Linked DNA regions of Callithrix jacchus. The protein of the gene in region 1 purifies or fractionates together with the protein of each later gene. This does not show direct contact. Links are inferred from orthologs where the notes say so. Each region holds a gene or a part of one and is shown in the gene's direction. Other genes may lie near its edges.

Region 1 (3,823 bases):
CTCCTATATTACTTCCTCTGGCTATTAGACTACTTTAGGATATCCTCTCCTTCCCTGTATCCTGCTCTACACATCTATAAAGTTTTGGGGCCCAAAGTTGTGACTTGAGTTCTGTTTCCTCACTCAAAAATTTGTTTTTTTGTATTTCTTATTTACCAGGCACAAAGCCTAAGACCTAAGGTCAGGCGTCAGGCAACTGCCAGAAAAAATATTTGCTCGAAAGACCCAATGAGAGTGATGGTACTAAATGCAACAAAGATATTTAAATATGAATCCTCAGAAAAAAATCGAAGAAGAATGTTTCATGCTACAGTGGTTACGCAGACAGAGTTCTTTCATGTGAAGGTTTTAAACATCAACTTGAAGAGGAAATTCACTAAAAAGAGAATCATCATTATATCAAATTATTTTAAATATAATAGTCTCCTAGAGGTGAATGAAGCCTCTTCTGTATCTGAAGCTGGTCCTGAGCAAACGTTTCAGGTTCCAAAGGATGTCATCAGAAGAGCAAGGAAAACTCCGAAGATCAATATTCTTCACAAACAAGCTTCAGGAGACATTGTGTATGGATTATTTACACTACATAAAGTAAGGCATCAAAGCTGTTTTGTTGCATTTTCTACAAAAACACTTGAAATTAAGAGCCCTGATGTACTAAATGGAACTTTGCATATTTACTTAACATTAGAACTCAGGGCTCTATCAAAATGACTGACAATTAGATAGTCTTCTTCAAGGTTAAGACCAAGATTAGGAAACCCATTAATGTTCTGCTTCCAATGTTTTTCTTTCCAAAATGTCACCCTGATGTTCTTTAGTAAAGCATTCACCGAGAAACCATGAGACTTCATCAGCTATGACTATTCTGAGCCATAACAATCAAGAATAGTGAGGGATCTAGCATAATACTAAATTTATTTCTTTGATTATAATCTCAGTTGTAGCAAAAATCATATTACTTTCATTTTGAATGAAGTATTGTCCTTTGAGGCTTGAGTTCCAGTTTTGACAGTCAGGGCAACAAATGAATTGACTGTTCATACCTGGAAATCAAATGCCGAAAATGGGTAGGACAATGTTCAGACCAAAGGAAACCCATTCATCAAAAAGTATTGAACAACTGAGAAATAGAATTCGGGTGATACTTGGAAAGTTAGGTAATCTGTACTTGAATATTAGACACGTCATGTCACCGAAAACAAAAAGAGCAGAATAATTTTTCTAATATGTTACTGTCAAAATTCATAAAACTAGTTAGCATGAGAGATTCCATCTCAGAAAACCATCTATACCTGGCTATTGATTCCAATAATTTCTTAGATGACCGACAGCTCACAACCCATTATATTTATTTTCTAGAACAATCTTTTATTTTACCAGCATTGCTTTCTGCACACACTCTTAAATTATTCTTAGAAATACATATCTAGGCTGGGCATGGTGGCTCACACCTGTAATCCAAGCACTTTGGAGGCCAAGGTGGGTGGATCACCTGAGGTCAGGAGTTCAAGACCAGCCTGACCAACATGGTGAAACCCTGTCTTTAAAAAAAAAAATTTTTAAGAGGAAAAAAAAAAGTAATACATATCTAGAATGACAGGTAATAGTCTTGATGAGCAAGAGATTGGAACATTTGAGCTTAAAGACCTGAGATCAGATGGGAGCAGACGTTGAAAGAGATTCAGTACATAGAGAAAGTCAAAAGAGTAATTAGATAGTTAATAGAAGCTTGCTTTTTATTGTAGATTCCTCATAACATGGTGAATGATGAGTTGTAACAGATGCTTATTCTTTCTGCATAGGGGTAGAGGCCAAATAACCCTACCAGAGTTCAGGTTCCTTAGTATCAAGGTGCTTTGGGAAGCATAGTTGTCCTGGAAATGAAAAAAGTTGAAATTGAGAAGATAACCCTTTGCTCTAGAACTGTCATAGAAATACTTAGAACATTACAGAAAAGAGTATCAAGGGAGAGCTCTGGGAGATGGTCTAAACTAAGGCACATGTACTGTATGTTCATACTGTACTAGGAGTTGATGTCTTGCATCTTGTTTTAATCTGTTACAAAAGACTTTCCATTATGTAAGGTGGTTACTATGTCCTCACCAACATGATATTAATTTTTTGTTGCAGAAAACTGTAAAGAGGAAGGTGACAATCTATGAAATTCTGGATAAAACAGGGAGTATGGATGTAGTTGGAAAAGGAGAATGTCACAATATCCCCTGTGAAAAAGGAGATAAGCTTCAACTCTTCTGCTTTCGACTGAGAATGCGGAAAGATGTGTTACAACTGATGTCAGAAACGCATAGTTTCATCCAGATGAGAAATAGAGACAGAAATGTTAGTTTTCCAAAGATAAAAATCATTCGCTTTAAGTTTTCGGAAATCATATTTCTGTTGTTTTACACTTAAAATTCTGCAGAGTACATGAGAAACCAAATGACGCCCTTGCACTTACATTTAAATAGAGAAAACAGGCCGGGCGCGGTGGCTCACGCCTGTAATCCCAGCACTTTGGGAGGCCGAGGCGGGTGGATCACGAGGTCAAGAGATCGAGACCATCCTGGTCAACATGGTGAAACCCCGTCTCTACTAAAGATACAAAAAATTAACTGGGCATGGTGGCGCGTGCCTGTAATCCCAGCTACTCAGGAGGCTGAGGCAGGAGAATTGCCTGAACCCAGGAGGCGGAGGTTGTGGTGAGCCGAGATCGCGCCATTGCACTCCAGCCTGCGTAACAAGAGCGAAACTCCGTCTCAAAAAATAAATAAATAAATAAATAAATAGAGAAAATTTTTAAAATCTATTGAGAGAATAACATTCATTATTGACTTCAAAAGAACATGAAACTTGTGCTAAATATTAAAATATTGGAAGAAATTAGGAAGGCACAGGCCTAATTTAATTAGTGATCAAAAGCAAGTTTTTTGCAGTGAGATAGGGTTGGTATATACCTTGCTCATTAGTTGTATGATATTGGAGAAATAGCTTAAATGTTCCTCCTGAGATTGATTTGAAAATTAAATGAGATCACGGATATATGGTTCATATCCCATTACCTTCCTTGCACATTATGACAAATCAGTGTGCACTAGATACTACTGCTGTTAACAAGGTAAAGACAGACATTGGAAAGATTTCAGGCAGAAAAAATGTGGCATACAAATATTAAAAGTGAGAAACAGCATAGTGAGTTCTGTACGACTTTGGAATATGTGGAAATGTGTCAGAAACTCACGCAAGACAGGTGACAAGCAGCCCTCTTCTCATCTGTCTTATGCCATAAAGAAAAAAATGAAGTTCGTTTTTTAAAAATAAGTAAATAAAGATTTTATTTTACTAAGAATGTTAGAACATTTTACATTTTAGCATAGAAATATGTTGGCAGTTGTCTAGAGGAGTACATCAGATAGAGGCAATGTTTAGAGGTAATGACATCTATTAGAATGGAATAAAGGATGATATTCTCAGATATTTAAAGATGGTGTACTTTCTCTGATATTAAAAAACACTAAACAAAAAAAAATGAATGCTTTCAGATATGTAAGAAAATAAAGCAGAGAAGCATTGACTCCCACAGCATGGCACTGAAGCTTCCAAAACCTTCAGAGGCTGGCACAACCTTCCCACGTGAATGCCATCCCAGCAAGACTCCTCACATGCTGCCAGCAACCCCATCAAGCAGTTCCTTTACCAAGGTACAATTTCCTGGGTCCCATGCCAAACATAAAGTGCCAGGATTATTAGGGATTAGAAGAGAAACTCCTTCAACAGTCTAACTGTGTACAATCTCTAGATGAAATTAAATCACCCATTTATTTAC
Region 2 (3,626 bases), on another chromosome or scaffold:
CTTTCTAGAAACTGGTAGTTAACCTTACTTGGGCATAATACATTGTGAGTGCAGGTGCGTGCTTCCTGAAAGCTTCCTATAAGCCTAGCGGGTAATCTTGTCTCTCCCTTTTCTTCCCTTTCAGCTGATAGCTCTGACAACTCTGATTTGGAAGATGACATCATCTTATCTCTGAATGAGTGAGGAGCCATCACTACTTGGAAGAGATTCTTGGCAGGCGAGAAACTGAGTCAAATGAATTCAGAACATATTCCCTTCCCTTTCTCTCAGGGCTGTCTTTTAAGGAACTGCATGCCCTGCATTCAGAGGATTATGACTTAGAAAGTCTCAGTGGCACCTGAGAGTCCTTCCAGAAACAATAACAATCACAAAAATAACAACAGGGACTAGGCCCTCCTCTGTACCCGCCCCCCCATTTCCTAGGATGGACACATCTTTCAAGGGGAAAAAAACATGTCTCTGGGGTATTTCACAATATATTTTCTTTGTATAATGTTCTTTACTTAAAGAACAAGAAATAGTTTTTTATAAAACTTTAAAAAGGAAAAAAAAAAAACACAGGCATTTATAACTGAGGGTATGAACTTATATCCACCAGGTCTCTTGTCCCTACACTTCATTTTCTTTGGAAGAAAATGATGTCTAAAGAACAATATAGAGGCATTTTTACATACGTATTTAAATGAAAAAGGAAAATCGTGGTTTCTTAAATTGATAAGGATTAAGAATATTTTATTATAAATATAATATATGATTTTTTAACCTGTTTTGTTGCCTCATATGCTGTCTGGTTAATTTGTTTTCCTTCGTGCCAGAGGTGGGAACGAAGGCTCTTTATCTGCTGAGTATGCCTGAATTCACCCACCTTCATGGTTTGGGGGCAGCATGGTCATTGTGGATATTGGTTTTGTGGAGTTGAGGGAACTTAAGATACAAGTTCACTCCCTCTATTTTTCTTTGTGATTCAGTTTTTCAAAAAGCTTTTTTTCTTCCCTTTCTCCCCAATGTGGAAATTATAAATCAAAGGCCTTTTTCTTTAATGTAAAGTGTATTTATTTTAAAAAAATACAAAATAAACTACAAGTCTGTCTTTGTTTATGGTCTTTCCCTATTTTCTTTTACCCAAGGGGTGTGTCCCTTTTTTGCAGATCTAGTGAGGCCATAAGGAAGATACCTTCCAGGAGAGGCAGATCAGGATGGTGGGAGAGCATGTTCTGCCTACAGAGACCACTCCAGGGAGGAAAGTAGCTTTGTCACAGTGTCTGCTCCTGTCCTGTAGCTCTCTCACAGGGAGGACCTGTCTTTGTAAGGGTAATGTGGAGAGAGGAGAGCTCAGGGCCTTGGCCACTGTTGTCACAGCTCTCTATCCTTATGTTCTGGATCCAGCAGGCTGCTCCCAAGTATAGATTTGGTGGAGCTGGAACGGGAGGTGTTCTGGGAAGTTTTGGAGGAAGGAGCTGCAAAGCTAAAGAGTGAAAGCATTTCGGCCGTCTGTGTAGCTGGGGCGACGGCCACTAATGGTTTCTGAAAGGGACTGTGACAGTAGACTTGAGCAGTCCTGGCAAGTTAGGGGTAGTGGGAATTGGTCTGTGTTTGTAGAAAGATACTTCAGAGGCCCCTAAAATTGGCCTGTGGTTAAACTGTGTAACCACCAGGCAGAGTACCAGCGGCTTCAACCTTACCGCTTACCCACCCCACCCTGTTTTCCTTCCCACAATAAATATAAGACCATAGTCTCTTTTTTCCTTTGATTTTGCCCAAATAACAGCTGCTCAGTTTCTGTTACGTAGATATTATCCAGCTAAAGTGATGTTTCTCCCTTAACAGAGAGAAGAGGGGACAAATGTGGTTGTGAAGTAAACAAGAAACACAAGATGGCTAAAACTCTCCAGGGGCAGGTAAAGCCCTACTGGGCTCAGAAGCACTGTAGAATATGCTGTACACACTGAGTGGGTCTGTGTCACACAGGTATTTCTTAATCCTCTGGAGAGCAGAGGACTTGGCTCTTTTGCTTCATGCCTTGATTTAATGGTAGTTAACACACCAGTGGAATAGTCTGACTGTTGGTACTGACTGCATCAGAAAACAGGTTAACAACCAAGAAGTAGTGAAAGCACTATATTCTAGTCATTAACTCAGTGGAGCCAGTCTCAACTCTGCTGGGAGCACCCACAGTTCTCTAAGAGGGAGATGGGGACTATAGTAGGGTGGCAGAATTCGGGTTGGCTTGACAACATACCCTTAGGAACATGCCCTAAGGGGCTAAGGAAGCATCAGCCCTCTTCCTCATTCTACCAGGCCTGAAAGTCACCTAGGAGGCAGCACAAGAACAGTGGCACACCACCAGTGAGGCACATTTTGCCTTCTTGTCTTTAAGCAACACCTTAGACAGGACCCAAAGGGCACTGGATGCCTGAAGTAAGAGTTTTCTCATTAGGGCAGGGCATTGACCACCTGAGCTCCCCTTACTAGTACTGGCCAAGGCCTTTCTGAGAGTTCACAGAACCTGCTAGATCTTAAGAACCAAAGGAAGGAAGTGGTTGACCAGGAAAGAGAGGGAAGGTCATGCTAGGGTGTTACTCCTCACCAAAACTTGACAGTTCTTTTTGGGGCCATGGGGCACCTTTCTCTGAAGAGGGGTGGACAAGGCAAAGGTTGAAGTGTCTTCTCCAGGCACGTTTTCTAGCATGTTTCCTTTACTTGGTTCTGTCTCAGAAAGCTGGGAGATAGATTCCGGGTCCTGAGCACCTCCTCCATGAAGGAAGATAGGTAGCCCAGAGAAGTTCTGGACTCACATACCAAGGCAGCTCTGGCCTGTGACTCAGGCTGAAGATCTGCAGGAAAAACCCTGCAGTGTGCCTTCAACAAGACAAGACCCACTCCTGTTTCGGCAGTACCAGCTATCCTGGAATGGTGGCGTGTCCTGCTGTACCTTGCAGCTGTGACCACAGCTCAAAAACAGGCAAATAAATAAGCATGTTTAACATGTCCTTGTGTTGCTGTTTTGTCATCAATGTGCTTTTTCTCTCGTGAGGCACTTTCCTGTCCATTCATCACCCAGGTGTCTACGAGAGCACTGCCAAGTGTTCCTGTGGACTAGCGTGGCCTCTCCACAACCTACACTGAGCCCCAGCCTCTGCACAAGCACCTGCCTCAAATCTCAGCTGTCACTTATGCTGCCTCATCCCAGCTTGGGTAAGAGACCAGACCTGGAGAGGATGCCACGGCCAGCAGAACCCAGAGTTCCTGGTTATCTGGGTGCTCATTCGCTTACCAGAGCTTCCGTTTGCCTCAGCCCTGACAATGATCCCTGTTGGAACATCCAAGCTGCCACACTGACACTCTGAAGAATGGCATTTGGGGTGTTCTATGGTGACAACTGTGTGCTCTGGTTTTCCTCCCCAGCCTGCACTGTCTGTACTACCTTACTGAAACAATGAAGGCAGAATCTCACCCTCCCAGCTAGGGGGTATCTCCTCGTCCCTTTCCTCCCCACCTGGCTTGAGTGGCTTCAAGAGCTCGCACTACCCAACACCTCAGTGACTTGTGACCTTCCCCCGCAAGAAGAATGTTTCCCAATGGTCTCCAACTCAGTAGTAGGGCATAAGGTGTAGGCACATGCTCTG

The links.
Region 2: the proteins of PYHIN1 (region 1) and DCAF1 purify together in Homo sapiens (affinity purification with mass spectrometry; 3 studies listed by BioGRID and IntAct, counting the BioPlex papers as one, with this or other methods). This does not show direct contact. The link is inferred for Callithrix jacchus from reciprocal best matches to the Homo sapiens genes PYHIN1 and DCAF1.

Annotation. Positions count from the first base shown.
Region 1 is NC_133519.1:18,961,387-18,965,209, forward strand, and holds part of PYHIN1 (pyrin and HIN domain-containing protein 1), read left to right. Parts: intron 1-159; coding exon 160-588; intron 589-2,130; coding exon 2,131-2,340; intron 2,341-3,539; coding exon 3,540-3,698; intron 3,699-3,823. UniProt on the Homo sapiens protein: Major mediator of the tumor suppressor activity of IFN in breast cancer cells. Promotes ubiquitination and subsequent degradation of MDM2, which leads to p53/TP53 stabilization.
Region 2 is NC_133516.1:33,972,651-33,976,276, reverse strand, and holds the end of DCAF1 (DDB1- and CUL4-associated factor 1), read left to right. Parts: intron 1-124; coding exon 125-179; coding exon of another isoform or gene 180-183; exon of another isoform or gene 184-1,096; intron 1,097-1,127; coding exon 1,128-1,240; exon of another isoform or gene 1,241-1,255; intron 1,256-1,827; coding exon 1,828-1,898; intron 1,899-2,715; coding exon of another isoform or gene 2,716-2,719; coding exon 2,720-2,773; 3' UTR 2,774-2,990; downstream 2,991-3,626. UniProt on the Homo sapiens protein: Acts both as a substrate recognition component of E3 ubiquitin-protein ligase complexes and as an atypical serine/threonine-protein kinase, playing key roles in various processes such as cell cycle, telomerase regulation and histone modification.